Linked DNA regions of Struthio camelus. The protein of the gene in region 1 interacts with the protein of each later gene in a pairwise test. Links are inferred from orthologs where the notes say so. Each region holds a gene or a part of one and is shown on either strand. Other genes may lie near its edges.

The links.
Region 2: the proteins of TRIM63 (region 1) and MYOT interact in a two-hybrid assay, tested with the Homo sapiens proteins (2 studies listed by BioGRID). The link is inferred for Struthio camelus from reciprocal best matches to the Homo sapiens genes TRIM63 and MYOT.
Region 3: the proteins of TRIM63 (region 1) and TNNI2 interact in a two-hybrid assay, tested with the Homo sapiens proteins (2 studies listed by BioGRID and IntAct). The link is inferred for Struthio camelus from reciprocal best matches to the Homo sapiens genes TRIM63 and TNNI2.
Region 4: the proteins of TRIM63 (region 1) and CKM interact in a two-hybrid assay, tested with the Homo sapiens proteins (2 studies listed by BioGRID). The link is inferred for Struthio camelus from reciprocal best matches to the Homo sapiens genes TRIM63 and CKM.

The regions. Positions count from the first base shown.
Region 1 is NC_090964.1:7,166,513-7,173,910, forward strand, and holds the start of TRIM63 (E3 ubiquitin-protein ligase TRIM63), read left to right. Parts: upstream 1-4,245; 5' UTR 4,246-5,014; coding exon 5,015-5,611; intron 5,612-5,935; coding exon 5,936-6,102; intron 6,103-7,398. Other genes in the region: serine/threonine-protein kinase PDIK1L, read right to left, coding at 360-644. UniProt on the Homo sapiens protein: E3 ubiquitin ligase. Mediates the ubiquitination and subsequent proteasomal degradation of CKM, GMEB1 and HIBADH.
Region 2 is NC_090954.1:5,806,833-5,814,333, reverse strand, and holds the start of MYOT (myotilin), read right to left. Parts: upstream 3,376-7,501; coding exon 3,313-3,375; intron 2,755-3,312; coding exon 2,613-2,754; intron 2,088-2,612; coding exon 2,064-2,087; intron 1,546-2,063; coding exon 1,426-1,545; intron 1,013-1,425; coding exon 757-1,012; intron 1-756. UniProt on the Homo sapiens protein: Component of a complex of multiple actin cross-linking proteins. Involved in the control of myofibril assembly and stability at the Z lines in muscle cells.
Region 3 is NC_090946.1:17,999,609-18,006,906, reverse strand, and holds the start of TNNI2 (troponin I, fast skeletal muscle), read right to left. Parts: upstream 3,043-7,298; 5' UTR 2,228-3,042; intron 2,176-2,227; exon of another isoform or gene 2,156-2,175; intron 1,850-2,155; exon of another isoform or gene 1,731-1,849; intron 345-1,730; 5' UTR 315-344; intron 1-314. Other genes in the region: uncharacterized protein, read right to left, coding at 6,110-6,967, 7,187-7,298. UniProt on the Homo sapiens protein: Troponin I is the inhibitory subunit of troponin, the thin filament regulatory complex which confers calcium-sensitivity to striated muscle actomyosin ATPase activity.
Region 4 is NC_090957.1:1,407,774-1,415,929, reverse strand, and holds the start of CKM (creatine kinase M-type), read right to left. Parts: upstream 3,089-8,156; 5' UTR 3,012-3,088; intron 1,248-3,011; 5' UTR 1,235-1,247; coding exon 1,042-1,234; intron 408-1,041; coding exon 253-407; intron 8-252; coding exon 1-7. Other genes in the region: KLC3 (kinesin light chain 3), read left to right, coding at 7,288-7,307. UniProt on the Homo sapiens protein: Reversibly catalyzes the transfer of phosphate between ATP and various phosphogens (e.g. creatine phosphate).

The DNA.
Region 1 (7,398 bases):
AAGGACACCTCAGATTAAGGAATCTTTCAGAGCATCGTCTCAAGACGTCCATAAATACCTGTTCACAACAGCCTGTATCTCCGTTGTGCGTTATCTGTGCCCTTTCCCCAAATTATCAAAGCAGATTTGCATTAAAAAAAATCTGGAGTGGCACAGCTTCCAAATAGAAGATACAGGTGATAGTTTGATAAGTATGTTCTTCTAAAGATCTAAAATAATTTTTGGATGTCAGCAGTGCATATAGTCTCTCTTAACTAAGCATATCTTTAAAAAAAAAAAATTCTTAGCTACCCACCTCCTTCCCTCCCAGCTACAGGTATATGTTGTTACTCCCACCCCATTACCTCAGCTTCATGTACCTGTAAATAAAGGGAGGAACTGGAGCCATGGGACATCTTCTGCACCATACCATCTTTCTGCAAGATGCACTCCTCCAGATGAATGACGTTGGGATGTTGGCTCTTGATACTGCTAAGCGCCCAGAACTCACGCAGAGCTAGTTCCACGTTCTCTGGAGCATGGCAGCGAATCTTTTTCACCGCAACCCGTGCGGAGGTCTTCCTGACGACTGCTTCGTACACCACACCATAACTGCCACGGCCAACCTCCCGTATTAGATCGTACTTAGGCTGGCTACTCACCATCTTCAAGATCAAAGGTTCTGGGGAAGGGGGAAGGGGAAAAAACCCATAGAACTAAAACTTGTGAACAACTACTAATTTGCGTTTTCCCTATGTGACTTGGTGTAGCGACAGTAGGCCTTCAATTATTAGGGCACTGCCCCTGAACGTAACATCTCATAACACCACATTCGAGTGCTAGAATATCCTAGAACCTACTTTGTAAACCCATACCTGTTGCTAAGGAGCAGTTAAGAGAAGTTCTATCATTTCAGTCAGACTACTAAGATTGCAAATCAGGCCAGTTTTCAAGAATGCAGCAATTCAGACCTAGACTTGTACTTGAGATGGGATTATCACATATTCTCTTGCTGTTTTCTCTCAGTATCTTTTGCTCTATCTGTGCATGTAATAGCACAGTATCATGCTCAACCCATGCCTGGGATATCAGAGAAGAGGTTTAGTTGAAAGTTATGGTTAGGCAATAGCAGATTTAATTTGAAACTTCCTTTTAAGGAGGTGACAGGATAGGTAAACATTTTCTATTATAATTTAACTACAAAAATCTTTTCTGGATACTAGAAGAAGAGGATGCTTCAGAACACCTACTTTTTTTTTTTCCTCCAATTGTTACTATGCTTTTTTTACCCAGGCGCCTCTGAATAATCAGTTTAAGGTTCCAAAGAGTTAAAGAGGGCAACTGATTACAGAAGCTTTTACTCAGTATCTCAACTTCAGTTTTGCTGAACAGGGCAAGGATTTCAACAAAAACTAATATATTGTTCTATAAACAAAACAAGAGAGACAAACAAACAAAAAAACAGTGCCACAAACTTATGAGCCTCTCTACACACTTCTCTGCAAGTTTACAAACCAAAACACAACATCACCTTCATATAAACAAACCAGAATGAGACACTGACTACAGACAGGGAAAAAAAAAGGTTTGGCTAGCCAAACATCACCGGTCAGACAGAACTAAATGTAAGAAAGAAAGAAAGATCACAATTAGTAGATGAGAACTAAAATTTTTTTTTTTTTTTAAAGATTGCTAGTGATAGGTGTAACTCTCCTTCTGTCAGTAACCAGGCACTAAGGACCACATCGAAACAGCCCCTTGTCAGAGGGAGCCTTCTAGTTTTCCCAGTAGGAAGACAGACACAGGTATTACCAGCCTCAGGACACCATCGATGCAGATGTTTAGACCCTTTCAGGAGAGTTTTGCAGTGAACATTTACTGTAACACCTGAACTGCAACTGGCGTGAGCAAGGAATTCACTGTGCGAGATGCAGGTCGCAGGAGGCATCGCACCTGCGCCTGTAACAAGGCTAGGAGGAACAGATGATGGTCTGAAGGGGAAGACCCAATGGGCCAGTAACACCTCCCAAGCAGGGGAGGAAAGCAGGATCCATAACCTCAAGGACGGCCAAATCTAAGGAAATGACGGTGCTACTCGGACACTACCGCACCAGGTCCAGCATGAGCGGGAGACAGGCCCCGTCTCTGGCCAGGTAGGTGCACGCTGTCACCAGGGGGGCTCCATCACACTGCCAGGGCAGCCACCCACCCTCACCAGGAGGGCCACACTCCCACAGCAGCCTGGCCCAGGCCGGGAATGTCACTGGGGGGGGGGGGGGGTCACAGGGCAAGGCAAGGGGAAGCAATGCCTGCTCACGCCAACCCATCAGGCCAGCAGCAGGACAGGGGCAGCAAGCACCAGGCCTGGCCCCGCTGCCGGGCCCAGGCAGGCACCACACAGATGAAGCGTCTCTGCTCCCCGGCTGCCTTGTCAAAAATAACAATTACAGAATAAAACAAGTCACCTTTCCCCTCCACCCAGCACCACCAGGGAGGCCCCACAAGCAGCAGCCACGCAGGGACCCCACCAGCGCCCAGGGGAGGTCACTCCGGGGAAGGAATTAAGGCGGTTTCGCCCGTTTTCCACACCGCTCCCCCCCCGCCAGGCCCCGCGGGCTCCCCGCGGCCGCGCTCACCCCGAGGGCCCGGCCGGGCCGCGCAGCAGGTGCCGGGGCCCCCGCTCAGGGCAGCGCCGGAGGCGGAGCCGGGCCCAAGCTCGGAGCTTCAGTCCCTCACTGTGACGCCCCGGAGCCGCCAGCGCCGCGCTCCCTCCGCCCCGGGCACCGCGTTACCTCAGCACCGCCGCCGCAGCCGCCGCGCTCCCGCCGCCCGGCCGCCATTATAGGGCTCCCCCCGCCGCGCCGCCGCCGACACACCCCCTCCCCCCTCCGGCCGCCGTCGCCCCGCCCCCCGACGTCGCCACGCCCCCCAGACGTCGCCCCGCCCCCCCACCGCCGCGTTCCGCCCCCCCCACCGCCCCACCTCCTGATTGGCCGGCGGCGGCAGCGCGCGCGCGCGCCCCCTCGCGGCGGGGCGGGAACGCGCGCGCCGCCTGCCACGTGCGCTCCTTCCCGCGCGGCTGCTTTTTTTTCCCGTGCGCTCCTCCGTTCGCCCCGCCGCTCGGCGGCTGTCAGCGCTGCTCTTATTTATTTTATTCTGTTTTATCGGCTTTTTTTTTTTTTTTTCGCTTAAGAGAAAAATATGGAGCCTTCCCTCGCCAGGGAGCCTCGCGCCTTTTGGTGCGCTCTGGCGTCGTGCCAGGTCCCTTCCTCTCCTCCGTTCCTCCGGAGCGCCAGGCCTGGTGGTGCTTTTCCGTACAGCAGCAGTGCCGGCGCTGCACGGAGAACGGGAGGCCGCGGCGTGACCCTTCGCATGGCGGCAGGCCCGCAGCACCCTGCAGCCTCGGCCCCTCGCTGCGCACGAGTCCCTCCGGCGACACGGGCAACATCCTCCTTTCCTGCACCATCAGACTGGGTGCAAACGCGCTGCACGGTCTGCTGCGGCCTCGCACCTCCGGCCCCTCGCAGCGTCGGCCTGGCCGGGGGAGCAGCCTCGGGGCGGGGAGGTTGCAACTTAAAAAGGGGAGGGGGTTGCAAGTTCGAGGGGCTGCAAACTCACGCTGGAGCGGCAGATTTGCTTCACCCCAGCTCCAAATCGAGGACGTGGGCTCTGGCCACCCTGGCCTGCAGGGAGCCACGTTCCCGCGGCACCAGAGGGCGCGTGGCCGTCGCGGATCCGTTTGGGAAAAGGGCCGGGGCCGGCCGAGGGGCAGAGGTTCCCCTTGGAGCGGGGCTCCGCGCCGGCCCCAAACCCGCGGTGCCGTGGAGGCAGCTCTTCCCGCCAGCCGTGCACCGTCCCCCGCTTTCACCCCCATATTAATTACTAATCAGCCTGGCGGTGATTAGCCCGTCGCCATCTTCCCTGATCCCCCCCAAGCCAATTAGGAGCCGACGAGCCCCTTGCAGGCCAGCGGCGGGTTTGAAGCCGATTAGGGTACAACCAACCCAGCCGGTGCCGCGAATCCCCTTAACCGAGTCCAGAAGCAATTAGTTAATTAATGGCACGCCACCCCCCTCGCTGCCACCGGCCCCAAACGCGGCTGGGTCCGGCCAGCGGCCGCCGTGCGAGGCCGGGTGCCAGCGCCACCCGCGCCCACCGCGCTATAATTAACCCGCTGTCCCCTCTCGGCTGCCAACATTTACAGGTCTCCCTGCGGACCGCCGCGGGAGCTGGGCATCACAACCTGTTTATCGCCGCGGCTCGCAGATGCCACCCCGGCCCACGTGAGCCGGCGGCTTGATTTTATTTTTTTCTTAACCCCCGTCGCCTGCAGCAGCTCTCGCGGAAGGGGCCCGGCCTCGGCCCGCCGCCCCGCTGCTCGCCTCGGAGCCTTTCCTGGCTCGGGTTTCGCAAGGGAGGCGCGGGGTTAGCCGGGGCCGCGGGACGAGGGCGAAGGTGCGCCCCGGCACCGGCTGCTTTTGTCCCCGTCTCGGCCAGGCACGACTGGAACGAGCAGCGTCGCTCGGTGCCGGGATGGGGACCCGCCGGAGCGGCTTTTCTTATCGCTCCTGGGTCCCGTCCCGGCAGAGAGCGGGTGTGAAAAGCCCCAGCCGCTGGCTGATGCCCGTCGCCCGGGGGAAACCCGCACGCCGCAGCCTGTTCTCGTGGTGGCCGGGCGCCCCGGGCGCGTTCGGGATGCTTCAGCCTCCCACGTGCCGGGCCTGGGTCGTGGGGGCTTTTTTGGTGCCCGGATGAGTCGCTGCTATGCGGCCGGGGGCTTTCCCAGCCCCGAGTCATCGCCCTCCCGCCCCGCAGCCCCGCGGTCGCATCCGGTCGGCCAGAGCTCAGCGCTGCCCGAATTTGGGGCGGGGGGGGGGGACGAGAGCGATTTTTCTGCTTGAATAAACTGGACGAAGCAGGTCGGCGGCCGCGGGAACGGGGCTCGGCCGGGGGCACGACGCTGCCGGGGACGGGCCGGACGGGCTCGGGCACCCGCGAAGCCCCAAAGCGAGGTGCCCACGTGGCGCCGGGCGGGATGAGGAGCGCGAGGCCGAAGCAGCCCGGCGCCCCGGGGGCCGTGCCGGCGGCGTGTCCGGCCTCGTCGGCCCTTGGGCCGCTTGCACCTGGGCGAAGCGTGACTGCGCTGACGGCCCCGGCTCCGGTTTCTTTGTCCCGGGAGACGCTAAGCCCCCCGGCAGCGCGGGTGCGGACAGGCCGTCCCGAGCCCTGTTTACAGCCCGGCCTCCCGCTCGGCCCGGCGATTGCTCACTCCCATGTGATGGGTGGGAAACTCGACCCGCTGCCAATATTGTCCCTCCGCGTGACCGCAGCGCGAATTATAAATAGCCGCGCGGCCGGAGCGGCAGGCAAAGGCGGGTGGCTGCAGCCGAGCTGCGGGAGCTCAGCGCCGCCCGTCGCCCCGTCGGCGCCGGCAGAGGAGCAGCGACGCTTCTGGCCGCCCTTGGCCGGCCCCATGGATTACCAGCCCGGCATCATCCGGGACGGCAGCCCCATGGAGAACCTGGAGAAGCAGCTCATCTGCCCCATCTGCCTGGAGATGTTCACCAAGCCCGTGGTGATCCTGCCCTGCCAGCACAACCTCTGCCGCAAGTGCGCCAACGACGTCTTCCAGGTGAGCGCCGTGGCAAGGCGTCCCCAAAGCCGCCGGCGGCCGGGGCCGGTCCTCAGCCAGCACTCGGCTGACCCCGAGAAGCCCTCGGGCTCATGGTTTGTCCCCTGCACAGCGGAGCTTTCCGTCGCGGGCAGCGCGGGAGGCTGGTTTCGGGCACGAAGAGGTTGGTGGTGGAGGTGGCCAGGCCATGAGAGGTCCCCACCGGGGCGCCGAGCGTAGGGACGGCTCAGCGGGCCGGGGGAGGACGCCGCGAGGATGCTCACAGGTGCCACGGGACCCCCCGGTGTCCCCGGCCGGGGGACCCTGACACGGCTCTCCTTGCAGGCCGCCAACCCGTACTGGCAGAGTCGGGGCAGCGTCATCTCGGGGGGCCGTTTCCGGTGCCCGTCCTGCCGCCACGAGGTGCTCCTGGACCGCCACGGCGTCTACGGGCTGCAGAGGAACCTGCTGGTGGAGAACATCATCGACATCTACAAGCAGGAGTGCTGCAGGTGAGCCCGAGAGCCGTTTGTCCTTTAGGAGATTGCACCTTTGCTGGAAACCGTGGGTCCTTTCCGCTTGCTTGCCGCTTGCCATCCCCGGTCTCTTCCTCCCGATAGCGCAGCTGGAACGTTTTCGTTCCGACACCAAGAGCAGTAAAGTCGCGAGCGCTGTCCCTCGGGGAGGGCTGATCTCCCAGGGCTTTCGTGCCGCCGCGGAGGGCAGCGGGTCCTTCGGCGGCGAACGACAGCGGGACCCGTCCTGTCCTTAACGCCTGGCGTTTTGCAGATAGAGGTTTCAGGCGGAGATAAGGGGCGCGCGGGACAAATACCGGCTCCGCTTGCGAGAGCTGGGAATTGCCGGCTGATAAGGGACGGAGGGACGGTTTCAGGGGGAGGATCTTGCTCAGGGGCTGGAAAAAGCAAAGGCTCATGTTGCTCAGGGGAAGGGACCCAGCTGGGGTGCAAATGTGCCGGCGGCTCGGAGGGGGAAGGGGAAGGACAGCGAGAGGTCACGGCTTATCGAGGCAGGAAGGGGCTAAATCTATTTATAAAGGAGAAAGAAGAGGGTGAGAGCAAGCCCCGGCGCAACGGCTGCTCCCAAAACGGGAGCCGACGGGAACCCGCTCCCAAATCCACTGAATCACTGTAAATATTATTCGCCAGCCATGGGGACGGTGACAGATGTCAGACGACAAACATCTCCGGCATCGGAGTTTGCGCAGCAGGGAAGGCGCCCGGGCAGCGGAGCGCCCCGCGGGCCCCCCCGGGCGGCCGTGGCTCGGCGAGCTCGTTGCACCCCTGGCTTTGGGGTGAAATCCCCCGGGTTTCGGTTCGGTGGGGTCGGCTGTCCTAAAGGGGCACGAGCAGGTGGCTTCAGTTCGCCTGGCCGGGTCTCCAGCCACCGTCACGCTGCTCGCGGAAGGGGCAAATTGGCTAAAAGCCGCCGGGGAGGAGGGGGGGCCGTGTTTCAGCTGCCCCCGCGGCGCCTGGGGCTCCCCTGGCCAAGTCACGCGTTCGCCGCAAGGAGCAGAGGGCGAGCGTTCGTCTCGGGTCTGCGATAATACTACATTACACCACCACGGGTCTAAAATTAGGCTGTTGCGCAGCATCCCTGGCCCGTGGCCCCGGTGCCCCCGACCCAGGGCACCCGAGGCGCTGACCGCCGCACTGCCCAGCATGGCACTGGTTTAAACTGGGGCCTCCTGGGCTCCTGCTTGAGCCGCCGGGCGGAGGAAAGCAAAGCTCGGCGCGCGGAGCCGCGGAGGTCGGCAGCTCGCGAAGGAGCAGTCGGGGTCCGGCAGGACG
Region 2 (7,501 bases), on another chromosome or scaffold:
ACAAACTCTAACTTGTTTTGTTTCTCTGGTGTAATTAAACAAGCTAAATAGCAATGCAGTAAGTAAATAGCTGCTTGAGAGTTACATTCGGGGCAGAAATTGGGTTGAGTCCTATTACGAGAGGTAATACTTTGTTCTTAAGGAAAATTTCCATCTGCTGAACAGGGCCTACCATGCCAGGGGACACTTCGCGCTGTACGCGGTGGGATCACCCGGTCGGTGCTTTTCCTCCACAGGGTGCTTTGCAGGTGCAATCTAAGCGCGCCATGCTTCCCACATCCCAACTTCTATAGCTGCTTGACAGAATAGGGGACGGAAACATGAAGCGATGCGTCTTGGGCAAGGCTATGGAGGAAATCGGTGGCAACAGAACTGTGATTTGAAATTTCCTAGATGCTGTGGTTTTTGTCTCATGCTCGACTGTGGCGTCGGGCATTTCCTGGTGGCTATGCGTGGCCGTGCTTTTAAAGCTGCTTACAGGTAGGCACTTCTGACAATACCGTTAGGCACTTACCTGAGCCTTTAGACAGTTCTGTACTTTGTCAGCTCTAGCCTGTGCTGTTCTGTAGCTCGGCTGGTGTAACAAGTTCCTATGACATCTAGGCAAACAGCTCAGGTTATTGCGTGTGCGTGTTTGCCCGGATAGGGTATGGGGCACGGGACCTTTGCTGTTGCGTTGCTGGGGTCGCTAGAAAGCTCATCCTCTAACTGTTGTTTAAAACCACTCTAGGGATGTGACTTTCCCCTTTGCCTTACCGCAGAGGTGAAGCCTGAGGTGAATTCTCATAAATGCCAGGAAAATCTTCGGTTTCGCTCTCGGAGTTCATCTGGCTGAAGTCGGTGGATCCTGCTCGCCGGCCTAGCCCTGGGGCCTCTTGCCGGGTGCCGTAGGGTGGCTGGCCAGCTGCGTCTCGCTCCATGGTGGCAGTTTGGCTGCCTCTAGGGAAAGTGGATTTGTTCGTGGTGGCCGGCACCGGGGCAGCACCTGCAAAGCTCTCCAGGTCTTTTGCTCCTGGGAACGGAATTGTGCACAAGTCAGTCGTTCGGTTCGCAGCTGGCTCCGAGCACGAGCTGGGCTAGTTGTGCGTTGTGATGAACAGGTGCCGATACTGACAGTGTATTGGGCTAAGCTGTGGGGCGAAGGGGCGAAGGTCTGGGGGGGAGACCCCTTGTGCGAGGGAACAGCAGCTCCACCTTGTCGCCCTTACGCTGACCCAGGGGGAAGCAAGGCCAGAAGCAGAAACGCAGAGCAACTTGCGTTCAACCCTGAGAAATACCCAAGCGGACTATGCTTTTGGGGCGTTTCTTTTTGGCTGAGCCTACACAAGTGTTTCTGTTTCACGAATACCTGCGACTCTGCCGGATACTGAGTGGCAGCAGAGGCTCCTGAGCTTGGTTGTTCAGCTCAGAGATCTGTGTGCTTACCTGGGGAGACAGAGAGACGTGCGCTAGATGCCGCTGATCCAAATTCATTTTCAGCAACACATTTAAATATCCCAGAGTCTTCTGGAAAAGCTTCTGTAATAACCAATGTGCAGACTTCCTCTGAAACGACAAATTGAGGCACGCTGTTGTACTGTAAGGGCCGAATGTTAGCCTGTAGGACCTGGTCCTTGCCGAAGGGACAGTTAATTGGTGATGGGGCTTGGTGGCCATAGGGCTTTTCAGAAAGAAGTGGTGTAAAGAGCATAGGAAGTCAAGGGATTTGGAAGGGGTGAAGATGAAGGAAGGATCTTTCTGCCTGTGACTTTAAGGAAAAAAACCCCGAAAATCCCACAGGTTAGTATGATTGATAAGTTTCCAGTGTCTCTCAGAATACAAGATGTTTTTCTTTGGCTGAATGTAAACAGGATAATTTGATTGTGTTACTAAATAAACCGGGGCCCTTCAGGAGCTTATGTCAAAACCAAGTACTTGAAAGCCGTTAGTCTGCTGCTGAACCCGTATCTTCTGGCCACCCTTTCAGTTTTATTGTTTTATCTTGGATGAGATGAGGGGAAAAAACTAAGCTTGGGGTAAACTAACTGATGGGATGTCTAACAAAAGATGTGTGATGTACTTACCAGGAGCTGCTGATGAGCAAGCCTCTGCTCAAAATAAGAGAGAGAATAATTAAATGCTTGTAAATGCCAAAACGGAAGAAAGACCTTCAGCCTTCACTCACCACCTCAGCTGTCACCCTTGTTGCAAAACAACCATCTCTCTGTGTTCATCAAGAGAAATACCGTCCCGCTAGGGTAAGTTCAGATTTGACCGAAACCTGATAGTACAAACCCCTCTCCCCTCTCCTCTGAGGTGATTCAGAAGATCGCTGAATTGATCATTAGTTACAGTATATTGTGACAGTGCCTTCGTGGCTCAGTGGTGCTTTCACTAATACCTAATGTCCTTGCAGTCCCTTCCCATCACGCCTGGTCTGCGCGCACATCCCCAGAGAAGGAAAGGACGGGCTCTATAGAGCGGTCTGCAACTGCAGATCATATGATACTTTTAAACCAACTTCTATCTCTATGAACATGTACTATGCTCTAATTTTCATAGTGGTTCTTGTTCCTGTCTTATCGCTATCCCGATAAAATTACTGTGCATCAGAGAGGCATGGCGATACCTACTTTTCCGCAGTATTCGGAAATCTGCAGAATCTATTATCGGGTCATATTCTCTGTACCAGTGAACCTGTAAGGTTGGCGTGGTGCGAATACGACATTCAAATACCACTAATTGACCCTTCGTAGCTCTGATGTTTTGTAGACCCTGGAGGAGGAGAAAATGGTGTAAAATGGCTGACATACGTAGTAATTGCTTAAATGGAGAAACACTTAGGCAATCAAACACCCTTTAGTGAATAAGATGATGGCATGACTCTTTTATTTTACTTAAAATAATTGATTTGATTCTAGATATATTTGAAGTGGGTTGAGAGTGAAGGGTTTTTTCGCCTGTAGACCAGCACTCATTGAAAGGCTTTAGCTTGCTCATGCATTCAAATCAAAACAAAAATGCAGAAAAAAAATCTAATTCTAGTGGATGACCAATAATGAGGGAGGCTACTGTGAGAGATTCCGCTTCAGCCTTTGTAGCAAACAAATGAGATGCATTCATGTGAGTGGTTCTGTTTCTCAGGATCATTTACCAATTAAGATACTAGTTTGATAGCCTTGCTAATGAAGTATGGTGATTTTTTGAAATGTAAATGAACCAGTGTTCCCACCCCCAGGGGTTTTCTAAAGGAAGAAGTCAAACTCAAAGTCTAATGCTAGGGGTTGAAGTCGCAGAAGAAGCGATGTCATTCAGCCAACCTTTGCTCGTTACCTTTGTAAACACAGGTGTGGTTCCATAGGAAGGCCCTGTCTGGCTCGTAGAGGGACTCTGCATCTATATAGCAAAGAAAAGTGATTTTATAGTTTGCATTTCTCACATGCATAAACCCAGCTGTGTTGCTGGCGCTTTACTTTGAAGCAGAGGAAGGCGCCAGAGTGTTTTATCTGCTGTTTGTGCACCAGCCTATCACGTACCCCAGGGAGAGTCTCCATTCAAGTGCTCCAAGAGAAAATGCCTTACTGGACTGTGAACAACAAATTAGCGGAGGAAGAGCTGATAACCTGTAAATGTTGTTGGTCCTATAGATCATAAAAGCCAATTCACTGCTCACATCTTGTCGTCTCTGTATACAGCTCAGTTTTGCCTTCCAGTAGTTGTCCCCTTCTACGGAAATTTCTGCCTGGGTTAGCTGGTTCCAGGTCTAGCTCTTCCTGGCTTGTGTGGTGCATGTGTAACCACAGTGAGGCTGATTGTAAGGAAACGAGAAGGAACTTTGGTGCTCTGTCCTGACATTCTTCTTAAAGCTTAATTGATGTAGAGATTAGAGTAAGGTCTTTGATTAATCGAGAATGGCAGTCTTAAGGCTATCAAATCTTTGCAGTGCAAGATATGTGCTTGCTCCCTGGCAAAGTGTTGATGTCCACTCTTACCCATCCCATTTAGCTTTTGGACTACCTGTCTTGCATGGAAATGTGCAACTGAAGTGCCCGGGTTTGTTTTGCTGTGGTCATGGTCTTTTCCATAATCTGTCTGTTCTCCAAAATGACCCAAGTTATCAGCTCTTTTCCTCCCAGCCTGAGTTAAGATGGAAGTCCGTTCCTAGATAGTTTGAGTTCCCCAGCTCTTGACCAAGTGACATGTTCAAAACCAACTATCTATCTGAAATGAATCTTTGGAGGAGGCTGGCAAATGGCTAAGTTGTGTGGCAGCTGCTCAATTACTTCTAGCCTTATTCCCCTGCTCCCTCAATTCTCTTAGCAATTCAGGCTGGAAAATGTCCCAAGCCAGAAAGCCCTTTTCCAGGAGAAAGAGTCCAAATCTTGATATTCATGATGATTCTTGCCTCTTGGTGACCTGCTGAAGATGTGCTCGAGCTGATCCTTACAAAATACTTCTAAATACTATAAATAATAATTTAAAAAATGTGAAACCTACTCTTTGAGGGTCAATAGATAACGGCTGAATTAAAGTGGTGTAACTCTGGTGGGCTGAGCGGCTGCTAGGGACTTCATTGGCTGAGGAACCAATGGTCAGCAAAACAGTGGTGGCTTTCCGCTTTTTCCTGGTGTGGGGGGAAAAATAAACATGGCAGGATGGAGACGGAGACTTCAGCAGGCTGAATGTACTTGACCCAACAGTGTTTGTACTTACTGTGACATTCCTCTGTCCCTGCCAGGATGCTGAGACTTTTGAGGAGGCTGAGCCTTCAGATTTACCCTATGAACCTGGAGACACAAACATAAATCAGTATGTTTAGAGCTACCTCCTTTTCCTTACAACACAGTGGTGTGTGCAAAAGAAAATAGTAGCATCCCTTGTAGCTGCGAGTGGGCTCAAGTCACCTCCAGGGCATGGGGACATTTACCTAAGAGCATTGATAGGGGCCTTTGTAAAGGACAGAAGTCACCTGTGAAAACTGGCTCCATGGCTGAATTAAGGTTCTTTTGCATTTTAATGGAAGAGTCTAAAGAAAAGCCTTGCTGCTTTAGCTAAAGTGAAAATGGTACCTCACAAAGCAAATACCGGATCCTTCACATGTAAGGATTCGTGCGTACCAGATAAACGTTAAAAAATAGTTATGGTGTCTCATTACATCACAGCAGTAATAAAAGGTTTGTTGGTTTCATCTGTGTTTCCCTCTTACTATGGCAAGAGGGATTGTTTCTGATGGAGTACTGCAGGTTGAAGAGCCGCCTCAGTGAAAGCAGCCGTGCAGGTCTCGATAAATAACTCCCAGCAAGCAGCCATGCTTTGTCATCAGCTCTGCTTCTGGGGTGAACATTAAAATTTTGGCTCCAAGCTGAGAGATAGCAGCATGTGAGACATGGAAACCGTATTTTTGCATCTGGAGAAAAGGAGCTGAACCTAGCCAGTTTGTCAGCAAGGAGAAGGCACAGAAATAACTGCATTGACTTTCTGCTTACTGTAGCAGCCAGATATGTCCCATGCTGATCTGTTTGGTTTGGTGCAACACTTGTGAGTTGCTGACTTGCACAGGGTGCCCCGGGGTTCATTTTCCATATCCCATAAGCCAGCTGTTTGCCCTCTCCCACTCTTGGCACCTGTGGGGTGGAATTAAGAGCCTAATACTGCATTGCCTGGGCATTGATGTTGTCACACACCCCGGTCCTATGTTTGCGCCTGTATGTGTCTGTGATCACGCAAGCAGTACCTTAAGGTATCAGTGAATGGTTACAAAGCTACTGCTTGTTGTTGAGTGATAAGCTGCTACGGCCACGGTGAATGGCCCCATGTGAGCTCCTAGCCTGCTGAACCACTGCCTCTGTGGTGGTTTTGCTTCATGTCTGCAGTCTGCTACGAACCAGAACGTGTCAGTGGCTGTGGCTTGGTGGGTGAGCAGCCGCTCCTTAAGTGTACAGTTGTTTCTCTGCACTCTGGCAGTCTTCAAGGTCAGCCAAATGCACATGTTTCTTGTGGGTCAGGGTCCTACCCTTGGTGCTCCCAGTTCCATATGGTACTGCTTGGTGTTTACAAGCTTTGTTACACCCTGTCTTGGGGTCGCATTTGTGCAGATGCAGGTAGGTGCATGTTGTAAAAATATGGAGGTGCCTCAACAGACTGGGATTTTGGTACCTCTTAACAGTTCTTCAGTAGGCTACAAAAGCACCTAGCTCATCAAGTAAGATCAGTGTAAGCATCTGAGCTCTTTGGAGGCTTTACGTAGCCGTTTGGTCCAAATAATTTATCTGAGAACTGTTCTCTCTCTCCTGCTTTCTGCCACTAAAACAGACATAGTTGATTACAGTGAAGGGTATTTTGCATTCTCATTGGATTTAACTGGTACAGCCCTGTGACAACTGCGGGGAACCGCATGGTACAATGGGCTGCTTTAAGGCATTCAGACGTCTCTGACCAGCGCGTGTCACTGTGTGTCTCGTTCAAACCTGCAGTACCTTAACCTTGGCCCTGATCCAGCAAAGTAATCAGACACGTACTTTGACCACCCATGGCCTTCCTATTTCAATCTGTTGCTCTTGAGTTATATCTCAAGCAGTTCAAGGATGGCTTCTGGCCAAGGTTGTATCACATGGCCATCAATAGGACTGTGCTGTGATGCAAGGACTGCTGGATAATTCAAGTTCTTGGATGTGGGAGGAGGGACCAGGAAGTCAATGTTATTGAGTTGCCCTGGGTTCCCACTGCAAACTGATCCTGGCTGTACTCTACTATGGATTTCTGTGAAGCTGTTAGCATTGCTTACTTGCAGTCTATCAAGTAATGGTCAGTATAGTCATTTCTCAGGAACTGTAAGATGTGCTGATTTTTGTTTTTCCTCCAAAGAAAAAAAGTGGCAAAAAATCAGACACATGCAGGTTGTGAAAGGAATGCCAGGGCTGATATATATTCAATTCAAAAAGAACTTCCTGAGCATAATTGGAACAACATTAGCAAAACTACATTGTACTGTCTGTGCCCCCTTTACTCCTGTATAGGAAAAGACTTGATTCTCCTATGGACATACAGTCACTGTTGGTTGTTCCACTCTATCTCTAGATTTATTGCTCAATCTTGAATCTGGGAAGACATGCGTAAAAGCAGCAGGCACAAAAGTGTGCCTTAGCAAGAGTAAGTGAAGTGGTCAGAAGTGGGGCTGTGGCAAGCTGTGGTTTATGACCAAAGTCCAGTGTGGCGCTTCAGGAAGCTTGCCCAGAAGACTGGGACACATCCTCTCTGAAGCATGAAGCAAGACCTTAGAAAGAGAGTGTGGTCTACTGAACTAGATAAGAATGGCTTCTGACAAGATTCCAGCCATGATAAAATGGGCACTGAACCTTAGCTGAAGATAGGCATAGCACAGCTTAAGCATTTGTGCTCAAGACAGATTTTCAGATGTGTGGCATTAGTTCCACCATGCAAAGATTACAGCTGAAGACCTTCTGACATGGTGGAGGCCATGGCCAAAGATGACTGCTGTCAAAACCTACAAGTGAAACTGGAC
Region 3 (7,298 bases), on another chromosome or scaffold:
CAGGAAAACCTTGCTACAGCCTGGGCCGTTCTTCCCCCCAAGCAGCTGCTTTTTTCTAAGGAGGAAAGCAAAGCGAAGACTGGTGCCACAAGCATTACTGAAGGAAAAAGCCCAGCAACACACACTTACCTCTTCACTGTTCAAAAGGAAGAGATGGACAAGGAAGGGAAGGGAGAGAAGGGGGGGGGGAGAAAAAGGCAGTTAGCATCCTAATTAGAAACAAGTGGAGGAATCTTAACAAGTGAAAAAGTTGGCAGCTAAACAGAAGTTTTAAAAGGCCAACAGCATATCAGAGACAGAAAATGGGAACTTACTCAGACATCTTGCTTTAGGTGGTTGTAAACCTGCAATGAAAAGGGAGAAAAGAAAGGTTCGTAACTATTCATATTGGTGATGACCTTCTTGGGCTTAAAAATACAGCAAGATTCCCCTAGAAAAAAAGAGGAACAGCTTTGTTCTTATTTCCCAACTTCTCCAAAATTTCATCACATAGGGAAGTAGGCTGCGGTCTGCAGACGAGAGCCAAACACGGGCCTCCTCGCAGCCACACACACCTCAGCATCTGGGTGCTCCTGGACTGGACAAAGCAATGTTAGGCCAGAAGAAGAAAGACAGATTTGTGACAATAATTCCTGCAAGGATGTCTCTGACTCCCAGGAAAACCGCTTTATGCAATGACAGAAGAAGGAGGAGAAACAGCTATTTTCAGACTTGACTCTGCCATATAGTTCTCTTTATACAGTTCTGTAGCAACATAAAAGGCAAATCTTTCAGGCCTCAGCCTTCCTGCCTGCAAAACGGGGCAAACGGCACCGCCCCACTTCATGAACAAGAGACGTCCCAAAGATTGCAGAGGGTTCAGACACGATGGCGATGGAGTGGGACAGCAAGCGCAGGTAAGGAGGACCTCAGCGCGTATTGCTGCCATAATGTGCATGCGTTGCGTGGTGCGGAGGAGCCTAGTGCAACAGCCACAGCACAAATAACACAGAATAGGTTTGAAAATTTTTTGTTGCTTTGATAAAGCCACAGCCCCCGACAAGTTCTTGCATCTCCTTCACGTGGAAATTATACAGGCCCGACACAGCATATTAAGGAAGAGAGAGGAAAGCACCTTTGAATCTTCTATATTTTGCTATAAACTGTTTCCCCACAACACATAACATATTTTTTTTTTCTAGCAGAGCAGTATTTCCTACTTGTATCCACTAACAGAAGGACCCCAGAGTGCCAACCCATCCCCAGTTCGGCTAGTCTCTCGCAGCCCAAAACACAGCGCTCTGCAGACCTGGGGGGCCGCATTTGGGAGATAAAGTGTTAATGGGGCCCAAGCCCAAGGGAGGACGTACAGATTGCAGGGACGAGCTCCCTGAGGAAACTTTATCCTGGAAAATGTGCAGGCCCATCACATTACTGGGGTGGAAAGTGCTTCTAAAAATGGTCAGGGAGCTGCACAAGGAGCTGCAGCTGTCTCCTCAGACTGCAGCCTTTCCCCGGTGCCAGGCCCCATGACTCAGGGAGGTTGGGGCAATGCAAAGCAAAAGCCACCACAGGTGGCTCAGCTACAGCTGAGGGACAGGGCCTCGGAGGAACGCAAGCTATTTTTACTTGCGTTCCTCCCGCACGCACACATGCACCCACTTCAATGACATCTAAGCTGCAAGTACAAAGGAAGCAAGGAGAGAATCCCAGATCGCAGCTATCCGCCTGTGATAGGGGCTTTACATCACCTGTTCAGTGGGTTGCAGTAAATCTGAACGTCTACCCCTGTCTTACAGGCTTCGAAACGTGGAGGACAGTTTTGGGGAGGAAGGCGCTGCACAGACCGGGTCAGGAACTGGAGCAAGAGCTGTAAGTGGGGGAGCATTGCTGAGTTACACCAGCAAAGGATGGGATCCCGCCTCCCACGGCCTTGGGGAGGTCAGCGTTACAGAGCCTGCGGCTCCACTCGCCCTTCCGCTCAAGCCGGAAAGCAAAGCCAGTCAAGTGAGGGGAAGGCATGAAACCAAAGAGAAAGAAGGTAACTGGAAAAGACAAGGAGACTTTCTGGTTGCGTGGGCCCTCTCCAACAGGCAAAGGATGGAGGCAGTCCTATCAGCACCCCAGTTCTCCCCGGCAGGCCACCCCTCTTAGCATTTATCTCCCCAAAACTCACGTGAGTGAATCTGCTTCCCCTTCGCCCCCTAACAGCAAGCTGGGTCAGTAAGAGACATGCAAAACGGCTCACCCAAGCGCTGAGGAGAAAGACAGAGAGCCCCCGTGGATGGACAGGACTGACTGGCGAGCCGTAGGCAGCTGGCTGAGTAAGGAGGTATAAAAGGGCTTCTCGGGTGGCTCAGCAGAAAATCCACCTTCTCTTTAAGGGCATGGAGACCTTCTCAGACCAATGATGTGCAAGACTCCCTTGTGCACCTCCCTTGGCCGGGGCAGGCGAGCCAAGCAGCCCTGGAGGAGAGGGCAGCCACCGTGGGCAGCGGGGAGACGGCGACGTACAGCTACGGGGTGGGGAGGGGGAGGACGTCTGCTGCTGGTGGGGTGGGGAAGTGGAGCCACCTCGGAGCCAGGCGGTGCTCTTCCTGGTGAGCGCTGTGGAAGGAGCCTTCCTCCCCCTCTTCTCCCTCGCCAACCTCCCACGCTGGATGTGGCTTCAGGGCTGTGGGGGCGCCAGGCTCCCTGCACACAGTCCACCTGCAAGGCCGGAGCTGCCAGGAGCAGCCCGTTAGTAAATGGGAGAAGGAGCAATGCGTGGGGGAGCAGCCCCACACGACCAGCAAGAAAGGGTAACCCCAGAGTCTGCTGGGGCATGCCCCAGACCCTTGCCTCCGTGGGCCCAAGGGAAGGGAAGACGGAGGATCCCACAGGGATAGGAGCCCAAGGAGCTCCTGCCCTCTTTCCTCAGGTCAGGCACTCCCTCCCCTTTCAGCCACAGTTTTTAGGCTGACTCAGAGGTGGCCCTGACAAATTTTTCCAAAAGCCTCTCAGACGTTGTCTATACAAGCAACAAATCTGCTGCTGCAGACTTCCTGTTTCACCACCTTTAGCACGATGCAACCCCCAGCTGCGGACGCCTGCGAAGGAACAGCCAGTCCCTGGCGCGAAACACCAGTGCTGCCTCTGCAGCAGGCAGGGGGTTGCCCCCACGTCCCGTGGCAGGGCGAGCGGAGAGGAAGCCACAGTGCGGGCAAGGCTGGCTCTGCTCAGGATTTGTCTCCCTGGAACATCAAGGGCTAGGCGGTGGGTGTAGTGAGATCAGCACCACCCCACCAAGTCAGGAGTTTCGGTGGCTGTTGATGTGAGATTCCCCCTTGCTAACCCACTGCAGGACTCCTGCAAATGCACAGAGAAATGGTGATTCGGCAGCGGTTGCTGGCTGGCGGTGGCAGCTGGGTGGACGATCCCCCACCAGTGGGAAAGACCAAGAATATGCTTTCTTTCATCTGTAGATTGGATTGGTGCAGGCTGAATTTGGGTAACCCAGGCTGACTGTTCCCTGAGCGCTGCTCCGCTGCCTGTTCGGGCTGTGAGTCAGCACCTCGAAAAGGAGCCGGGCTGGGGAAGAGCTGTAACGAGAATCAGCCCGATCTGAGCGTGCCTCCGCGCGGAAGCAGCTCCTGCGAAGAGCAACCCCTGCTCCTGCTCGCGAAGCAGAGCACGGCCAAGCCACACCAGCCCCTCCCGAACGAGGCTGTGGTGGTGGGGGCACGGGCGCATCGTGACTTCTGAGCACCATCTGCTGGGAAAGGAGAAGAGAGGCACAAGGATCTCCGTCTCCTCCCAGGCCCTCTGCACGTCTCCCCGGGCCAGGGTCCCTGCAGAGCACGCTGCACCTTCCCGTCCCCAGGCCATACTGCGTGTCGTGTCCTCCACATCCTTGTCCCTGGGGCAGTCTGTACTCCAGTGGAGACAGGTCTTCAGCTCCAGGCAGGCCTACAAAACACATAGGTTAAAACTCCAGCAGCTCCTGCCGTGCATCTCTTGCTACTGCCACTGAAGAGGACTCGTTGGTGCAGGCCTCACTGTGGGCAATTTAAAATTAAGGCCCACCCAGCATCCGTCTCCCATCTGGTCTTCAGCAAAAGCAGACAGTTTGGCAGGAGGAATGTCTGCTTGTCCCAGATAAAGCTAGTTTCTCAGAAACGATAAAAAGCAGACCAAAGCAAGCAACACAGAAAACTGTTTGAAGATGGACAGCGACCACCCTCCACCAGCCAGCAGTAGAAACCATCCATTAAGAAACAGCTGAGCTGCTTCACTTTTCTTCTCAGTACCAACTCTGTAAGCCATGTTTGTCTCACTTAAACCAATTCTTTATTATTCCAAAGTTTCTACAGCAATATTTTTTCGGCTCCCTATGCAACTACACATATTGGCGTGTATGGTGACTTGATTGCTGGCTCACAGGTCCTCAAGACAGTGGCTCAGCTTTTGGAGGAAGAATCAAAACTGGGGAGTTATCCGCTCAAAACTTATCCGCACCCAAGGAGTTTCATTCAGCTCCATGAAAGGAAGGCTCTTTGAACTTCCTGGAGTGCAGGCATGCTGCACAGGAAAAAAAAGATTTGCTCTGAATTCAAGTTTTTAGTTATTACTTTGTGCCTGCAAGTATTTGGTCTGAAATCGGTAAGTGGGGAGTTCACAGAAATGGCTCTCCTTTCACTACACTGTTTTTGCACAAAGCAAGGAGTCTCAGGGAAAAAGTTTTGACTAGCAGATGTGATTTTAGGATAAGGAAGGTCAAGAGGGCCAGTGACTGGAGGGTGAGGTGCGGGAATAGGGTGAGTAGAAGGTCGAGCCTTCAAGTCTGCTTAAGGTTTTCTCTAGAGTTGCCTTGTCCAGAGGTCAAACTCTAGGATAGCTCTCTAAAATTAAGAAGATAGCTCTCTAAAAATAAGAAGAGGCCCCAGACCAAGAATGTCATGAGGAAGAAATCCAATGAGCACCAGGAAGAATAGAAAAACAGAAACAACCCAAAGTAGGAGAGGCAGTTGACATTAAGAAAGATAATGGTTTCTAAACGAAGTAGAGTAAGCGTTTGGGTGACAAGTGAACAAATTCCTTGCAGAAAAACTCAAGGAAAACATAAGGAAACTCCCGTCAAGTCCTTCAGAGAGGAACATGGCTCAGTGAGGGCAAGGCCGCAGGAGCCAGGAGTGGACGCAGTGTTCAGACTTTACGTTTCCTGTGGAGCAGATGACCAGTCCCCTTGCCTTGTTCCCCTCCCCTCCTACTAAGAGGACACGCAGCGGGTGCAACCCACCATTCCCCAGAGCAGCTGCATTGTCTCTGCAAGGCCCAGGCAGAGGGAAGATCTGGCACATAAAGGAGGTTCTGCATTATATTTTAAAGAGATTCAGGTATCGCACTTCTGGGCTATGGTCTTCCAAGGGAGAACCACCACGGGTCCAAGCTATTCCTCAAGGCCATCTCCTTACACTTATACTACTGGATGCCTCCTCTTGATCCTACAAGCATCAAGTGGACAGGCACTGTGTCCTATAAAGCACTTCATTCACTGCATAGTCATGTTTGTGGACTAACTAATCCAGTATGTACCAGCTAACATTATGTTTCCATCTATCACTACCTAGATCCTGTTTACTATGGTTCTGAATGGTCCTCCAGTGCCAGAAGTGGCTCTACTCCTCTACACGATCCCATCCTGCTCTCTGGTCTTAACACATCTGGAAGAAGCAGCTCTTATTTCCAAGGATGATGCTGTCAGTAAGGACCTAGGCCTTCTACTCCCCAGCAGATGTGCTCATGGTAAAAAAATCAGGCAGGATCACTGAACAAACCAATGTCTGGCTCCCCTTTGCTTTCCCAAAATCACATCAGAGCAACGCACATGGTTCCCATCCCACCCCACCCAGGATACTCCCTCTCCCTCTGGTGTTTCCCTAAAAGAGTTCCCCACGCTTGACTTCTGCTGGCACCAGACCCTAGGAACTGCTAAAAAGGAAGGCCGCAGCCTTTGCATCTTGCCCCAGCTCTTTCCTAAATACCCCACAGCAACAGTCATCTCATTCACCTATGAGATAAGTTAAGGCCATGTTCAGTTTGGCTTTTCATCTTCAGGGCTGCTGCCAGACAGCACAGCAACCCTGCCCTTTTAGCTCCATGCCATCTTCCTTGACAAGGAGTGCTTCAGGCATGCCATGTTGACACCTCCAGGCTGCAGGGATGTCTCCAAACCCACCAGCAGGTCCTGGTGGCACTCCTGGATGTTCAGCGGGTACCGTGCCCTCACAAACTCATAGGCTGCCAGCAGTCTCATGCTGTGCTTGACCATCAAGTACTGGATGACGCAAGTAGGGCCTAGAGAGTAACCATCTCTACAGTGGATAAGGACACGCTTCCCTTTCTCCAGCGAGGCTTGGATGCACTCATTGATGTCCCGGAAGCAAGGTTGTCCCAGTTCATGTTGGTCCCCATCCAGGGGAGCCTGGATGTCAACCTTGAGGCGTGACCAGCTGTGCCTGAACCCTCCCCGGCCACAGGTGCAGGGAATGATGCTCAGGCTGCGGTCACTGGGCAGACTGCTCATATCGATGATGCTGTCAATGCCATTTTTGCACAGTGCCCGCCCACTGTAGGCAGCATTGAGGTTCCCCAGGTAGATGCAGTCTGTTATCCTAGCGATGATGGGTTCTGTGAAGTGGAAACACACAGGCTCTCCTGGCTTCAGACCGCTGGGATCCTCAGGATGTGATTTCTTCTTCCAGGTACCCTTGCAAGTTTTCTTGGAGCCCACTCTGGACAGAGGGCTGGAATCTGGTTCTGAGCTGCTGCTCCATGACGGTGGCGAGAACAAGGAGAAGCAGCTGGAAAGCTTGGCTTTGGAAAGGGGGTCCACTGGACAAGGCAGGAGAGGACCCAGAGTAGGACTGGATCTGTGGGCACAAGAGAGGGGTGCCTGCACTGGGGACCATGTGCTATGGGCTGCCCCTCTGCTCTGAGCCTCGTCCATCTGCAAAACAGGAAAGGACTGGTGAGACTGCAGAAATTCAGCTCTCCGCTGCAAGCACAAGGAGACATGACCTAGCAGTAGACTTTGCCCACAGCAGCACTCGGGGTCCAACCCACCAGTAGATACTAGAAGCCCTGAAGACCTTGCACATCTCTAGCCCAAACACCCAGCCAGCCCGTTCCCTTGGGACAGAGGCATGAGCATGCAGTGAACGCTCACCTGGGCCTGCAAACCACTCTGCCCGTCCTGGAGTGCTTGGTGGTTGAACTGGCCGTCCTCTCCTGATGGCAGTGATGAGGAGAGTGACCAGAGCGTCCTGCCAGGCTGCTGG
Region 4 (8,156 bases), on another chromosome or scaffold:
CCCCCCCCTGCGGGCACCCGTCAGCAGGGGGCCCAGGCGTCCGGGTCCCCTTAAACCCTCTGCAACCCCAGCAAGGACCCAGGCATCCGGGCACCCTGCCCCTCCCCACCCCTCAAACTCAGGAGGGACCCAGGCATCCGGATCCCCTTGACCTCCACGGACAGCCCCCCTGTCTCCACTCCCACCAGCCAGGATGGGCCCAGGTGTCCGGTGCCCCTCCCCCCTCCCCCGGGGGGCCCCGGCATCCGGCACCTTGAGGTTCTCGTGGTTGAGGTCGGTGCGGTGCTTGTCGGTGGGCTTATAGCCGCCGTGGCGGTCCTGGATGACAGGGTCGAAGAGCTCCTTGAAGACCTCGTAGGACTCCTCGTCCCCGGCCACGCAGCCCACCGTCATGATGAACGGGTGCCCTGCGGATCACCCCCCACCGTCACCAGTCACCCCACTGCCGCTGGCACCAGGCACCCACTGCGACAGCACTGGACAGTGGGGATCCCAGGGATGGTCGAGGGGACACCAGGGCTGGTCGAGGGGCTCCTGGGGACACTAAGGCTGGCTGAGGGGACACCAGGACTGGTCAAAGGGACACCAGGGCTGGTCGAGGGGCTCCTGGGGACACCAAGGCTGGCCGAGGGGACACCAGGGCTGGTCAAGGGGACACCAGGGCTGGTCGAGGGGCTCCTGGGGACACTGAGGCTGGCCGAGGGGACACCAGGGCTGGTCAAGGGGACACCAGGGCTGGTCAAGGGGCTTCTGGGGACATTGAGGCTGGCCGAGGGGACACCAGGACTGGTCAAAGCGACACCAGGGCTGGTCGAGGGGCTCCTGGGGACACCAAGACTGGCTGAGGGGACACCAGGGCTGGTCAAGGGGACACTGAGGCTGGTTGAGGGGTTTCTGGAGACACCAGGACTGGTCAAGAGGCTCTGGAGACAGCAGAGTTAGTCGAGGGGCTCCTGGGGACATCAGGGCTGGCCGAGGGGACGGTGGGGACAGCTGAGCTGGTTGGGGGGCTGAGGGGACCCTGGGGACCCCGGTGCCCACCAGGGTTGTCAACGCCAGTCTGGATGACGTCGTCGAGGGTGAAGCCACTGGGCGTCTCCTTGTCGCGCAGGCGCTGGTAGAGGGCGAGTGTCAGCACCTTGGCCATGTGGTTGTTGTGCTTGGAGAGGTCGGGGAACTCCTCCTCCGCTGAGAACTTCAGCTTGTGCTTGTTGTGGGTGCTGCTGAAGGGCATGGTGGCGGCGGGCCTGCGGGCACCGGCACCGGCGTCATGTGCTGCCGCAGGACATGGCATGGGCCACGGCATGGGCATGGGGAAAGGCTTGAAACATGGGCATGGCACACGGCATGGCATGGGACACAGGCGTTGGGTATGGCATGGGACACGGGCATGGGACATGACAGGGCACTGGGCACAGTATAGGACATGGCATGGGGCACAGCATGGCACTGGGCACAGCATGGCACTGGGCACAGCCATCAGGGCCAGGGGCTGGACATGGCACGACGTGGCACGGGGGACACGGTACGGTGTCACAGCACGGGACACAGGCATGGAACATGACATGACATTGGGCACAGTATGGGACATGGCATGGGACACACCATGGCACTGGGCACGGCCATCAGGGCCAGGGGCTGGACATGGCACGACGTGGCACGGGGGACACGGTACGGTGTCACAGCACTGCCCAGGTATGGCAAAGAGGTGCTGCACAAGCATGGGGGACACAGGTGCCATGGCATGGGCACAAGGCATGGGGGGACACAGCAGGGACATGGGTGCCATGGCACAGGGACACAGTATAGGCAAGGGAGTGACAAAGGACGTGGCACAAGTACAGAGGACATGGCACAGGGGACATAGGGGATATGGCACAGAGGACATGGCACAGGGGACATAGGGGGCATAGGGGACATGGGGGGCATGGCACACGGGATACAGGAGACATGGGGGGACACAGCATGGGGGACACAGCAGACAGAGGGGACATGGAGGACATGGCGTGGGGGACACAGGGGACATAGAGGACATAGTATGAACACAGAAGACACAGGGGACACAGGCGATACGGCCCAGAGGACATGGCGTGGACACAGAGGACACAAGGGACACGACATGGGGGACACAGCATGGACAGAGGAGACACGGGGGACACGGGCATGAGGGACACAGGGGACACGGAGGACATGGCCTAGGGGACATGGTGTGGTCACAGGGGACACAAAGGACACCGGGGTGGGGTGGGGGGGCGCCAGCCCAGCGCAGGCTCGGGCCGGGCGGGCACTAGGACCCCGGGGGCGGGGCGTCGACGGGCGTGTCCCGGAGGGGCGGGGCCTCTCCGGGGGGCGGGGCCTAGGCCAGCCGGCAGGTGCCGGCCGGGGCCGGGCTATATTTGGCCGGGCCGAGCCGGGGGCTATTTATAGCCCCTAAAGGACTCCGGGAGCCGAACCGGGGCGGGGGGGGGGGCACCGGTACCGGCCCCGCCGGAGCCGGAGCCGGAGCCGGAGCCGGAGCCGGAGCCGGAGCCGGAGCCGGAGCCGGAGCCGGAGCCGGAGCCGGTGCAGCCTGGCCCGGTGCCGGTTCGGTGCCCGGGAGGGTCGCACCCGGTTCGGTTCAGCACCGGCGGGGTCCAATCCGGCCGGTACCGGAGGGGTCCGGTCCGGTCCGGGCAGACCCGGCTCGGTTCAGCACCGGCGGGGTCCAATCCGGCCGGTACCGGAGGGGTCCGGTCCGGTCCGGGCAGACCCGGCTCGGTTCAGCACCGGCGGGGTCCAATCCGGCCGGTACCGGAGGGGTCCGGTCCGGTCCGGGCAGACCCGGCTCGGTTCAGCACCGGCGGGGGTGCAATCCGGCCGGTACCGGAGGGGTCCGGTTCGGCCAGACCCGGCTCGGTTCGGCACCGGCGGGGTCGGACCCGGCTCGGGTCGATACCGGAGGGCTCCGGCCCGGTTCGGTTCAGCACCGGAGAGGTCCGGTGCCGGTACCGGTGCCGGTGCCGCGGGGTTACCTGAGCGGCGCGGACGAACGGGTCGGGTCGGGTCGGGTCGGGTCGGGTCGGGTCGGAGGGGTCGGACCGGCAGCGGCGGCGGCGGCGGGGAGCGGGGCCGGGCACCGGCCTTTATAGCCCCGAGGCCGCGCCGCCCCCCCGCCTCGGCCCGCCCCCGGGGGGTACCGGGGGGTCCGGGGCCACCGGAGGGTCCGGGGCACCGGGGTGGTCCAGGAAACGGGGGAGGTCCCGGAGCACCAGGGGGTCCGGCACATCGGGGGGTCCCGGGACACCGGGGGGTACCGGGGGGGGCCGGTACCACCCGCCACTGGGTTACATCGAGCTGGACCGGGCGGGGGGGGGGGGGCAAAACCGGGACTAGGGAGGTAAAGCTGGGACGAGGGTCGGGGGGGGAAAACCGACCCCAGGGGGTTAAAACCAGGACCGGGGGGTGCAAAACCAAACCCGGGGTTTGGGGAGGGTAAAACTGAGCCTAGGGGGCAAAACCAAGACCAAGGGGCGGAACCAAGACCAGGGGGGTAAAACCAGGCCCAGGGAGGGCAGAAGGGCCCCAGGCAGCCCCGGTGCGATGGGCCCGGCCTCACCGGGACCCTCCAGGCCCCCCCTGCACCGAGCGGGTCAGGCCTCAGCGGCGGCGGGTGGCCAGCGGGCACCCTGCCCGGCAGCTGCCCGGCCCTGAAATACGGCCGCGAGGTGGGGCCGGGCGCTGGGCCAGCCAGGCGCCCGCTGCGTCCGGCCCTCGCACGCGCGCCCTTGCACGGCGCCCTGTGCCTTCCATGGGTGTCCTGTGCCTTGCATGGGTGCCCTGCACCCTACATGGGCACCCTGCACCTTGCATGGGCGTCCTGCACCCCACATGGGCAGCTTGCACCCTACATGGGCACCCTGAGCCTTGCATGGGCGTCCTGCACCCCACATGGGTGTCCTGCACCCCACATGGGCACCCTGTGCTTTGCATGGGCACCCTGCACCTTGCATGGGTGTCCTGCACCCTACATGGGCACCCTGTGCCTTGCATGGGTGTCCTGCACCTTGCATGGGTGTCCTGCACCCCACATGGGCACCCTCTGCTTTGCATGGGTGTCCTGCACCTTGCATGGGTGTCCTGCACCCCACATGGGCAGCTTGCACCCTACATGGGCACCCTGTGCCTTGCATGGGTGTCCTGCACCCCACATGGGTGTCCTGCACCCCACATGGGCACCCTGTGCCTTGCATGGGTGTCCTGCACCCCACATGGGCACCCTCTGCTTTGCATGGGTGTCCTGCACCTTGCATGGGTGTCCTGCACCCCACATGGGCAGCTTGCACCCTACATGGGCACCCTGAGCCTTGCATGGGCGTCCTGCACCCCACATGGGTGTCCTGCACCCCACATGGGCACCCTGTGCTTTGCATGGGCACCCTGCACCTTGCATGGGTGTCCTGCACCCCACATGGGCACCCTGTGCCTTGCATGGGTGTCCTGCACCTTGCATGGGCGTCCTGCACCCCACATGGGTGTCCTGCACCCCACATGGGCACCCTGTGCTTTGCATGGGCACCCTGCACCTTGCATGGGTGTCCTGCACCCCACATGGGCACCCTGTGCCTTGCATGGGTGTCCTGCACCTTGCATGGGTGTCCTGCACCCCACATGGGCACCCTCTGCTTTGCATGGGTGTCCTGCACCTTGCATGGGTGTCCTGCACCCCACATGGGCAGCTTGCACCCTACATGGGCACCCTGTGCCTTGCATGGGTGTCCTGCACCCCACATGGGTGTCCTGCACCCCACATGGGCACCCTGTGCTTTGCATGGGCACCCTGCACCTTGCATGGGTGTCCTGCACCCCACATGGGCACCCTGTGCCTTGCATGGGTGTCCTGCACCTTGCATGGGTGTTCTGCACCCCACATGGGCACCCTGCGCCTTGCATGGGCACCCTGCACCTTGCACAGGTGTCCTGCACCCCACATGGGCACCCTGTGCCTTGCATGGGTGTTCTGCACCCTACATGGGCACCCTGCACCTTGCACAGGTGTCCTACACCCTGCATGGACACCCTGTGCCTTACATGGGTGTCCTGCACCTTGAGTGGGTGTTCTGCACCCAACATGGGCACCCTGCACCTTTCATAGGTGTCCTGCACCTTGCATGGGCACCCTGCACCTTGCGTGGGCACCCGGCACCCTGCACAGGGCTCGCTGTTCCACCTCCCGCACCCCGGTCCTTGCCCGCTGCGCCCCCTCCTCGCACACGCGGATGTGGGTGCGGGACGGGGAGAGGGTGGAGGGAGGGCGGGATGGAGAGAGGAAATGGAGGGAGAGAGAAGGGAAAGGAGAGAGGGCCGGGCAGAGCGTGGGAGGGATGGCGAGAGGGAGGGAGGAGAAGAGATGGCAGGAGGAGATGGAGGAAGAGAGGAAGGGATGGAGGGAGGAAGGGAGAGGGACGGAGGCAGGGAGAGAGGGATGGTGGGACGGATGAGGGAGCAGCGGAGGGGTAGAGGAGATGGAGGGAGGTGTAGGAGGGAGGGAGAAGGATGGCAGGAGGTGGCGGTGGATGAGAGGGATGGGTGGCGTGATGAAAAGAGGATGGAGGGATGGAGAGAGAGATGGAGGGATGAACAGAGAGGCTAGAGGGAGAGAGGGATGGAGAGATGGAGGAGGGATGGAGAGATGGATGAACAGAGAGGATAGAGGGAGAGAGGGATGGGGAGATGGAAGGAGGGATGGAGAGATGGAGGAGGGATGGAGAGATGGATGAACAGAGAGGATAGAGGGAGAGAGGGATGGGGAGATGGAAGGAGGGATGGAGAGATGGAGGAGGGATGGAGAGATGGATGAACAGAGAGGATAGAGGGAGAGAGGGATGGGGAGATGGAAGGAGGGATGGAGGAACGGTGGCGGGAGAGGGGAGATGGAGGCAGGGATAGATGGAGAGAGGGATGGAGAGAGAGGGGGAGACCCAGGTGAGGAGAGGCCGGCCACAAGGGTCTCCCCCCTCACCTCCCCCAGCGCCAGGTCCACGGGTGCCCCTTGGGGACACGGTGGCACCCCCGTCCCCAGGCCGGGGAGGCCACCGGTGGGTGGCACAAGCCATCCCCACGCCCAAAATAGCCGCGGAGGGTGCCAGCAGCGCCCCGTCCCCCATGTCACCCACACCCCCAGGGCGTGGGGTCCCTGCTGTGGGTGCTGGGTTGGGGGGGGAGGTCAGGGTGCTGGGGACACCCAGCGGGTGCCGTGACCCTGGGGAAGGATCCGCTGGATCAGGGCAATTCTAGCCGGGGACGAGCCTCCCCCCCCCTCCCCACCCGGTATTTTTAGGCCGGGTCCGGTTACCCGCGGGGATCCGGTGTCGGGCCGGGCGGTGGGGCGGGGGGGAAGCGGGTGCTGGGGACCCCCACGGGGGGACCGGGAGGGCCAGGCGGCGGGGACACTGTGAGGGCACCCACCACCCCGCATGGGGCCCTGCGGGGGAAACCGAGGCAGGGAGTGGGGTACCCCCCGCCGGGTGGCCCCAGGCACCCAGGGGTGGGCGAGCCCCCCTCCCCGTGCTATGGTGGGGGGGGATGTTGGGCTGTGGGTGCCCCCCCAGGCAGGGCAGGGCACCTGCACCCATGGCAGGGTGGGGGGGGTGAGGGACACCTCGGTACCCCCGGAGTGTACGTGGGGGGGCTGTCTGGGTGTCCCCAGGGTGTGTATGGGGGGGTCTAGGTGACGCCAGAATGGGCATGGGGGGGCCTGGAACCCCCACAGGGTGGGTATGGGGAGGTCTGGGTGACCCCAGGGTGGGCACGGGGGGGTCTGGAGCTCCCCAGGGTGGGTATGGGTGACCCCAGGGTGGGCATTGGGAAGTCCTGCAGCCCCCCAGGGTGGGTATGGGGGGGTCTGGGTGCCCCTGGGGTGGGCGGGGGGGGTCCAGAGCCCCCCAAGGTGGGTATGGGGGGGGTCTGGGTGCCCCTGAAGTGGGCAGGGGGTGGTCTGGAGCCCCCCAGGGTGGGTATGGGGGGGTCTGGGTGCCCCTGGGGTGGGCGGGGGGGGGTCCGGAGCCCCCCAGGGTGGGACGGGGGTGCCAATAGGGTGCCCCATAGCACTGGGGGGGTCCCCTTGTCCTTGGGGTGCCCCCTAACCCCGGCGGTGCCCCCCCCTCTCCCGGGGCCGCCTCAGGGCGCCCCCCGCTCCCGCTGAGGCGGCCCAAGATGGCGGCGGCGGGGGCGGCGCGCGGGGCATTGTGGGGCGGCGGCGGCCGCAGGTGAGCGGCGGTGGCCGAGGGGCGGGAGGGGGGGGAGGCGGCGATGCCGGAGCCCGGCGGCAGGTGCGTACGGGCGGCCGGTTCGAGCCGGGGCCGCCGGTTTCGCTCCCGGGGGGGGGGTGGGGAGGGAAGATACCGGTTTTGAAGGTGGGAGGGGGTGTCCGGTTTTGGGGGAAGAGGTGTGTGTGTGTGTGGGGGGGGTCCGGTCCGGGAGCGGGTTGGGGGGGGGGGCGTCGGGCTCTCCCGCTCCCGGTGCGCTGCGCTGGCTCGGCCCGAGCCGACCGGGGGGCTCCGCCCGGTGCCGCCACCGCCGGTGGGGCCGGGCCGGGGGGCGCGCGCGGGGCGGGGCGGGGCGGGGCGGGGCGGGGGGACCCACGGCGCATGCGCGCGGGAGGGGCGGGGGGCTGTGGATGGTCGCGTGCGCATGCGCGCGGGGGGGGCCGGGAGGGGGGGCCGGGGAGGGGCGCGTGCGCATGCGCACGACTGCGAAGGGAGGGGGGCGCGCGTGCAAGGGGGATGGGCGCGTGTGCGCATGCGCTTGCCGGGGGTGGGGCGGGGCGCGTGCACGGGAGGGGGCGCGTGCACGCGGGCGTGCAAGGGTGCGCAAAAGGTGGGGGCGGGTGTGATCACCGGTGTGCAAGAAGGGGGGGGTTGCGTTTGCACGCGCACACACGTGCAAAGTGGGGGGGGGGCACACGCATGTGCCTCTGCCCACAAAGCCCGGGTGTGTGGGCCCGTGGGCGTGCGAAGCTGGGTTGTGCGTGCAAAGCCCAGTCGTACAGGCACATGCGCGTGCAAAGCCTGGTGGCGTGCACGTGCGAGTGCAAAGCCCGGTTTTAGTGCGCGTGCACCATTGCAAAACCAGGTGGGGCATGCACGCGTGAGTGCAAAGGCAGGTTGTGTGTGCAAAGC